2 linked regions of the Arabidopsis thaliana genome follow. The protein of the gene in region 1 interacts with the protein of each later gene in a pairwise test. Each region holds a gene or a part of one and is shown on either strand. Other genes may lie near its edges.

The links.
Region 2: the proteins of emb1644 (region 1) and AT5G62440 interact in a two-hybrid assay, tested with the Arabidopsis thaliana proteins (one study listed by BioGRID).

What each region holds. Positions count from the first base shown.
Region 1 is NC_003076.8:9,813,731-9,818,419, forward strand, and holds emb1644 (Small nuclear ribonucleoprotein family protein), read left to right. Parts: upstream 1-1,769; 5' UTR 1,770-2,015; intron 2,016-2,136; 5' UTR 2,137-2,173; coding exon 2,174-2,176; intron 2,177-2,274; coding exon 2,275-2,316; intron 2,317-2,448; coding exon 2,449-2,547; intron 2,548-2,652; coding exon 2,653-2,730; intron 2,731-2,799; exon of another isoform or gene 2,800-2,937; intron 2,938-3,157; coding exon 3,158-3,194; intron 3,195-3,325; coding exon 3,326-3,433; intron 3,434-3,551; coding exon 3,552-3,574; 3' UTR 3,575-3,888; downstream 3,889-4,689. Other genes in the region: AT5G27710 (T-box protein), read left to right, coding at 9-151, 542-612, 730-825, 971-1,063, 1,206-1,288. UniProt on the Arabidopsis thaliana protein: Component of LSM protein complexes, which are involved in RNA processing. Component of the cytoplasmic LSM1-LSM7 complex which is involved in mRNA degradation by promoting decapping and leading to accurate 5'-3' mRNA decay.
Region 2 is NC_003076.8:25,071,566-25,076,164, reverse strand, and holds AT5G62440 (EMB514 (DUF3223)), read left to right. Parts: upstream 1-2,095; 5' UTR 2,096-2,247; coding exon 2,248-2,544; intron 2,545-3,233; coding exon 3,234-3,545; 3' UTR 3,546-4,048; downstream 4,049-4,599. Other genes in the region: AT5G62460 (RING/FYVE/PHD zinc finger superfamily protein), read right to left, coding at 1-54, 149-220, 318-656, 969-971. UniProt on the Arabidopsis thaliana protein: May play a role in ribosome biogenesis and in determining the rate of cell division. Involved in a process essential for nuclear and nucleolar functions.

The sequences.
Region 1 (4,689 bases):
ATGAACAGGAAGTGAACTCATATTTCGAGTTCTTGTTTCATCTAATTGAATCTAGGGGACCTAGTGTTGGATTGAATGTTTCATTGAGTAGATATGATTTGTTCCATGGCCATTTATTCCTTGCCTCAGAATCTGGACGCCTTGGAATATTGTAAGTCTCCTTTGTCTCCTCAACACACACTAGGACTCTTGAAATAGTAATGATGATCATGTTCTGTTACTGACTTCGTTGTGTAAGAATCGAGACGCTTTGATAGGCACTAGAATAGTAGATATAAGGGGGTCTAGACCATTTGGTTAATTGGGAGCATTTAGGCTTTGAGAGTGAAGAGAACTCTCTAGGGTTTGTTCTTGTGTTCTTGAATGTAACCAACAGTTATCAATAAAGGAAGAATGGTTTCTGATTCTTAACACAATTGTTGCAGTGTTTTTAGAAAGGTTGAACGTAAGTAATGAGTTTTGGGGAATATTTATAGAAAGTTACATGGTTGAGCTAGGTTTTGAGTACTGTTGTTGACTAGTATCTGATTGGTGATGGTAGGTTTCATGCTAAAGAGTATCCAGCCTATGACAAGAAAGTGTTTCCTTACAACATGGGATATTGCCAGAGAGGTAATATGGGTTCTTGTCCGTGTGACTGTGAGTTTTCTTGCAATCTCTTGAAACATAGAAATGGTCACAGAAATCCCTTAAATCTTCAGTATTATGATTGTATCTCCTTTTTGTTAGGATCTGACGTGAAATACAATGATTCAATGAACTTGAGGAATATCCTTTGGCTTGCACCATTACCTAGCAACTCTTCTCCAGATTGGGTTGCTCCAGGTATAATATCTGTTTTCATCTCTGAGAGTAATAGAAAAGATCTAAACACTTCATAGTTTCAAGATGATCTTGTCTTTCATTAGTATCGTGGAAAACAATTGTAGTGTTACGTTTGACATCTTCCTTTCCTTTGATTGATCTGTAGGTGTACTTGTGGTTCTTGATGCGCATCCGGATGGAATCATATACCGAGATCTCATCCCTGACTATGTTAAGTTTGTAAGAACAATATACGAAGGTTTGAACAACTCTATACCTTCTCTCATCTCACTCATCAATTTGCTTCATTGTAGATCACATTTGATTACACATACATACACTCAAAGTCTCTTAAAGATTTATGCTCTATTGAAACTTTATGTCTTATCCTTCTCCACCAGATGATTTGGGAACAACCGCAGTTGATGTCAATTACTTGAATGTCGGAGCTCACGAACCTGACTATCAGCTTTTCATGTGCTGAAACAAACCAGTTACAGATTCACAATTACACAGTTGTGTGTAATTGAAACTTTGATTAAGATTTAGTTACTGGAGCTGGTCGAGGTTCAATAACGTTCGAGTTGGTTGATAATTTAGAGAGGTCTGAAGTATTGTCGGTTACAAAATAGCTTTAACAATCACATTGCTGAGGCTTTAAGCTTAATTGTAAAAGTTTAGGATTAGATTTGACATATCACTTGGCTTTGTTTGATTCACACAGTTCGCCTTAGTGATGTAAATTAATTAATTTCGAGAGCATCAATAACATATTAATGATTAGTTATTTTCCACCAGGTAACCATTGCCAACGGCTACAAATACACTTTGGTGTAGACAAAGTATACGAAAAATTAAAACAAAAAGCTCCGATGCCGGGAATCGAACCCGGGTCTCCTGGGTGAAAGCCAGATATCCTAACCGCTGGACGACATCGGATTAGTTGGCTAGATTGATATGTTTAACAATATATACTAAAACAGATAATATTATAAAGTTAAGGGACTCGAGTGCAAAACTCAAAAAAGTTCCCATTGACCTAAAACTAAAAGACCACCGATTCATTAGAAATCCATCCCTCTCACTGTCAAAACCCGAGAAGCAGAAAAAAGCAAAAAACAGATTTCGAAGTTTCGACGCCTCTCTATTCTTCGATCTCTTTCATATTTGAATCGTTCACCTTCTTGCCGATCTTCGGAGTATATTACAAGGTTTCTCCCTTTTCTCTCAGATTTTTTTTAGTAGCTGAATTAGGGTTTTTGTTCCGTTTTCGCTATTGCTTCTTCCGCATCTTATAAAGGGTTTAATGTTATACTTCTCTGATGTCATCAGGTTCTTAACGGATCTCTAAATCTTCTGATTTAAGAAGATGGTAAGTTACTAGACAAACTTAGGGTTTTTTTCCTTCTTTCTTGTTTGCGTTAAAGTTTCAATTTTTATTAACTGAAAGCTGTTGTTTTGATTTTATAGCTTCCTCTATCGCTGCTTAAAACTGCTCAAGGGCATCCTATGGTGAGTAAAATTTCGACCCTTGATTACAATTTTGTTATATATGAAGTGAAGCTGAGTTTAAGTGAGCATTGCATTAGGGATCTAAAGGAACTTCCTTTTACTGTAATTTTGAATCTTGTTTTGTTTTGGTAGCTCGTGGAGCTTAAGAATGGAGAGACATACAATGGGCATTTGGTGAATTGTGATACTTGGATGAACATCCATCTGCGTGAAGTCATATGTACATCAAAGGTTATCTTATGTTTTCATATGTTGATACAAATATACTTTGTTTAGACTTCGTGATGAAATTTTGTGTAGCTGACACTCATATATTTTGCTGCTTGATTACTCTAGGACGGAGATAGATTTTGGAGGATGCCGGAATGTTATATCCGTGGTAACACAATCAAGTACCTTCGAGTTCCGGATGAGGTAATTTTTTTTTGTGTGTGTGTGTATATATCTCTTGCTTGATCTAGTTTTTTCTTTGTTCCCCTCTCTCTGGAATGATGATGCTTAGCCAAATCAGATATGTGCTCCAAGAGGCATTTTTCTGTGGAACCTTGTTCAGCAGATGGTGTGCCTCTTGTTGTAGTGCGTCTTAGACGATATCACAGGGAATGGTTATTGCTGACCAGAATGTTGACCCACTTTTATGGACTTTGCTGTGTTGTGTTTCTGATGCGATTTTTCTCTATTGTTTCTACTTTATTTCATTCCCTCTAAAATCAAATTATATTCACATACCATAAACGATATCTTCATCTAGAAGGACAGTCATATGCTGTTTCTATTTATGTTCTTACTGCTGCAACCTAGATTGAGTTAACTGACTTAAATTGATTTCTTCTCTCTTCAGGTGATTGATAAAGTACAGGAGGAGAAGACACGCACAGGTATAGTATTACTCATGTCTATATTGTACCTTTACTGAGATATGCTTCGAGTTTTCTGAGGTGTTAATATTTTGCCAGAGTAGACATTGAGAATACTTCAGGTGTTAATAACGATGGTTGAATATGTGCAGATAGAAAACCACCAGGTGTTGGACGTGGAAGAGGACGTGGTGTGGATGATGGAGGAGCCAGAGGCAGAGGCAGAGGAACTTCAATGGGGAAGATGGGTGGCAACAGAGGTAAAAAATACACAAACAAAGCTTGTCACAAAACTCTGATTTTACTAGAATACTTCAAATATCTGTGTCTTGCCACAATGGGATTTAAGCTAAAACTCTAATATGTTATGAAAAACAGGAGCAGGTCGCGGCCGTGGTTGATGCAACAAGTTTTAAAGACTCGCTGCCAAATCTGCTAACTTCCCATTGTGGAGAAAACCAAAAGTTACATAAGAAGTTGGTCTGTTGTTGGTTTTCTATTAAGTATGTAAGGGATAGGGAGTGTGTTTTTCGATTCTCCTTGTGATCTTTTCGAAAAATGAAATTTGTCTTTTGCCTTTTTGTGGTATATGTGAAATTCCAATTGTTTTCATTTGCGCTTAAAAATGAATCTTTCAGGTCTTGAATTTATATAATTGTTAGAGAATTTATACAATTAACCAACGACAGGGTTTTTATAAGATCTTTGGTCCATCTTACCCTTTTATTATTTTTCTTTTTTTCCTATCTATTCTTTTTTTCCTCTTTCACCGGATTTTCTCCATCACTCGTCGGCATGACATATAAGATTAGATATGATTTAAAAAACGCATGTATTTCAAAGACAAAACATGCTCTTAAGTCTTTACATTGACTTGTAAATTTTTGTCAAGCTATCTAACAAAATCTCATATTTTTTTTTTGGAACAGATTCATATTTTTGTCAAGATTTCATGTTATATAAACAAATTACATGTCTTTTATCCAATATATCATTAGTATTTCATAAAATAACTATGTTTTAATGTAATAATTATACATATCTGTCAATATTTCACGTTATGTAAGGAGTCATATGTATTTCTTCAAATATCATGAAAATTACATATTTTTCTTCACTGTATTTTTACAATTGAATTTTCCTCTTCTCAAATCTATCGGAAGTCTTATTGTAATATTAGAAATTGATAAAGATATTTTCGTCAATATACACCGTCTAACGTGTGAATCCATAGTTCTTTTCTAACAAAAACTAAACTTATGATTAATATCTTTATTTAATCTCAGAATTTGGCTATCTAGTAATAACAACCTAATTATTATCTGAGTAAATCCCTAGAAAAAACTAGTAGTAATGGAATTTGCATGAGAATATGAGTATTTTGGTCATTTATTTTATTTTTCTCAATGTAAACTTAAATATTTATGGGTAAACAAAAAATAAAATCATAGAAGATGATATAATTAAAGATTTGCGAACGAAAATCTCATAATCAAATCTCTCTCTTCTGACACAC
Region 2 (4,599 bases), about 15 Mb from region 1:
AATGGTATCATCAGCGGGAGGAGGAGGAGGAGCGGTGTATCCAGGTTGATAAGACTGTTTCCATAAGGAAGAAAAAACAGTTATATAAACTTGCATTCGGTGTAACCAAAAGATTATACCAAAAATGTTGTTAGTGATTTGATTATACCTTGTGGCATATTTCACAGGTTGTGTCGCCTTTCTCATTACACCAACGTTGAACACACTTACGATGAGCATACTATAGACACAAAATACCAAATTGATGAGAACTGTTTTAAACGAAAGATACCAACAAAAACAAATAAAACAATGAGATTCATTGATAAAATTATCACCTTCAAACTGCCACTACAAGAACAAGGGGACTCGAGGTTCTTAACGGAATCCTCCTCTTGGCATATACGACATTCAACCGATTGGATGAGCGGTTCCTCTTCATCATCAACATCGCGTTGTTCCGTTGTCTCTTCTTCCTCGGTTTTCTTACCATCCATAGATTTAGTAGTAGACAGGCTTGTGGAACCCTGAGCTCTAGAACTCTCTCCAGAAGATTCAATAGATTGATTGGATCCTCTATCTGAGTTTAAACTTTCAGGTTTCACGAGACGGTCAGTACTTGAACTCTGATCATCAGCCATCTCTCTTTTAGCCTCAATGTGTAAAAAAACGTTGTCCTGTTAAAAACCAAGAAAGATCCAAAGATTCAAAATAAAAATCTCATAACTCTTATAATGATAAATGTTCCATCATCAACACAAAAATCTCCATTTCTTTGAATCGAAACATCATAATTGAGCTCAGACAATCGATTTCATTTCATTAAAGCGGAACAATTCAGGGAAAATGTCTTGGTGGAAGAGATTAGGATCTGAGTTTAAAATATGTCTTTGTCTCCAAATTTCCCCAAATTTTCAAGACATAAACCTAATCGGAAAATCCCCAAATTTCAGAATCACATCTCAACCATGAAAACAAAAGAGAGATACCATTCGATTCCATCACAATTCAGGAATGAAATTGAAACCCCAAAAGTCACAGAAATCAAAATTCCCAAATAGCAGAATCAACCAACCATAACCCAAGAAGAAAATGAAAGAAAAAAAGAGATAAAAGAGAAGATGATCAAATTATGATTACCTATAGAAGAAGAAATATCGTGAATCGCAGAAAATGGGGGAAAGAAGCTCTCTTTCGATTTCTTGAAGGGCACAAACAGCTCTCAAGATGAAATTCGGACAAATGTGTTTTCTTGTTTGATGTTCGGTCTGGAAAAATATTCAGATAAGTAAATCAAAATTTCGAAGCGCGTGTAAACAGATAAATATATAATTAAATACACAAAACCGGAGTTATGGAGGTTGACGATTTGACACGGTAACGTTATGATAATCAGATTTTCACAAAAAAAAGTTTTTTTTTTTTTTGTACCTATCTATCTTGGTTCTTTTTAGATTTTAGATAATATTACAAAAATAACTCTTTACCAAAATACGATAAAATAATTCCATTATTTTTAGAAAATTTAAGATTGAGGTGTTTGACTGTTGATAGATAATATGGTAAGATTGACTAGAAGCAAAAAAAATATATTCCAATTATGTCAAATTTTTGAAAAATTTAAGAAGTTCCATTAATTCCACGAGATGTAAATAATTTCAAAAGATGTTCGTTTGACTTTGACATTTTCCTCTTTGGCAAAAATTGTGATTGATCAATAAGTTAAGTCTCCAAGATATCCCGACAGACTGAACATCTAAAACGTTTAGGTATCCCAAAAATTATTTTTAATAACATTGTAAATTATATCAACATTTTTTATCCAAAAAAAGTATAATATGATTTATTTGTTAAACTATTATATTAAGATTTGAGTTTTTATTCTATTATTTAGAATTACTGACTATTATCCAAATTTTCTACAACAGTAAAAGTAATTTGTAGACTAAAAAAATATCTTGAGATGATTAATAAAAAAATATATTAGAAAAATGTAGACTTTAAAATGAAAAGATTTAAGAGACGTAAAAATAATAATTGGACAGATCAATGACGACAAATTAGTTACTACATTGAAAATCCTGGTTTTCATGTAGTGTATGCCGTCGAGCCAAAAAATCAAATAGACCGAACCAGTTCGGTTCAATCGGAAACCAAAGTCATATAAATATACCGCTTAGACGATTTCTGTAGGTCACACACCCTCAAGCTTAAACCCTAGAAATCGTAGAAAGGTGAAAAAAAGGCGGAAGCTTTACTAGCTTAACAATGGCTGAAGAACAAGAGATCGTCGATTCCCTGTCAGCGGAAGTGAACCCAGACCAGAAAGTGGACATGGAAGTCGAAACCGCGACCCCGAAAGCCGAGACCGGCGATGAGAAACGTGAGAGAGAGGAGACAGAGGAAGAAGAGAACGGAGGTGAATCGAAGAAGCAGAAGGTTGGAGAGGAAGAGAAGTCAGGTCCGGTTAAACTTGGTCCCAAGGAGTTTGTTACCTCTGTGGCGATGTTCGATTACTTTGTCAAGTTTTTACACTTTTGGCCAACTGATCTCGATGTTAATAAGGTAATACATATTTGGGTTTACTCTTCGTCTTTGTCTTTTGGCTTTGTTTATTGTAAAGTTTCAAATTTTTTGGAAATATTCATTCCTTTGCTCGAGACTTATATAGGTTAATCTAAGAGCTCTGATTGTGATTATTAAGTTCTGTGATGTGTTTAGGAAGATGTTTTATCAATGAATCTGATGATGATCGTGCTTTGTATTTAAACTAAAAGAAATTGAGAATTGGGTTCGCCTTTGTATTGGTCATATGATTTGATTTTGGATTCAGTGTTTGGTGTTAGAATTTTGTTTTTGTCTCAAATTAGTGGTTGTTTACAATGATTGTGGATATTGTATTATGTTTAGGGAGATGATTGTGGATATTGTATTATGTTTAGGGAGAGGATTAGTGAAGTGGAGATAGCTTGTAAATTGGACTCCTTTGCAGCTTTTTTACTAGTTGAAAAGTTCAAATGTATCGTGTTCTTACTGATTATATGATTGTGGATTGTGTGTGAATTAGAAAGTTTTTTTGGGTCTTGATGTCATATAATGGTTAGAAGAATGAAGTTAATGTCAAATTTTGAGGGCACAAATAAAAGATAAAACATTGCATAGTCATGTAATATATTACAGTTGTTGCAGTTTCTTTTGAGCTTCCAACTAACTAACTCGTTGTACTGAACTTTGTTCTGGATTGTACATTTCAGTATGAGCACATGGTGCTGCTAGATCTGATTAAGAAGGGCCATTCTGAGCCTGAAAAGAAGATTGGAGGAGGAATCAAAACCTTCCAAGTAAGAACCCACCCAATGTGGAAAAGCAGATGCTTCTTTCTGGTTAGGGAAGACGATACTGCAGACGATTTCAGCTTCAGGAAGTGTGTTGATCAAATCCTCCCATTGCCTGAAAACATGAAGACTCCTGGAGCTAACGGCAATGGACATGGTGGAGGTCGCGGTGGCGGTGGTGGAAGAAGAGGCGGTCGTGGTGGTGGTAGAGGAGGGAGATTCAGAAGATGAATATGCTGACACTTGATGCCTTATTTCAAAAGAAAATTTTGAAAATTTCAGATTTAGTTCTTTTGCCAAAAACTTTAAAAGTTATGATCTTGTCTAATGCAACTGCTTTTTGTTGGAGAAAAATTGTCAGTTTATATAACCCATTATTGCTGAAGAAGAAGAATATTGTCCCTACTATCTTGACAACATCAGAAAAAAACACAGACGCGTCAATAGAACTAAAAATCTGGTTGATCTAGTTTTTAAAAACCAATAATTCAAAAACGAAAAACTCAAATCAAAATCTAGATGAAAAAAAAACACTTTCCATTGATAGTGTAGTGTTGATCTGGTTGCTAAATGATAATGTTAAATAAAAAGAATTGGGGAAGTTATGAAAAACCGACATTTTGACTTTGGTAACTTACTGTGTGTGACATGTTCACCGTTTACGACCCTTCTAAGAGAAAGACAATGCCCTCAAACTAAAGCTGTCTTAAATCTTAACCCTGCTAAAAAATGATTACATGAAGTGATAACACTGGTTGGCACACGTCTTGGAATAATGGATTATTTTGAAACACATTATGAATTATAAAGAAACATTATCCGATATTCGGTATTCGGATTAATATTCCAAATTGTCTTCTTACACAATATACAAATAGACACATACACAAATTGTCTTTTGAAGATGCAACAAATTTTGTTTTGTTAAGCCTTCTTAGATTTAGGAAGCTTCTTAACTACGATCTTACTGCAACACAATCAGTTTGTGAAATCTATGATCTGACCAAGATGCAGGTGAGTAAGGGACCTACAGTAGAAGTTGACATGGAAAAAAGGCAGAGTTTGGTAAATCATAAAATGTGGCAGAGACCTTTTTGGTAATAGCCAATGAGAGAGCACCTCATATCTATTACCTTCTTCTGCAGTCTTCTTATCTTAACGTACAACCGTTCACTTAATGAAATTCGTCAATGGATGTTATATGGTTGTGAAGTTTTTTTTTTGTTTTTTTTTTTATAATTGATTTTCTATTAATGGTTGTGATTAATCTTTGTGTATAAAAGAA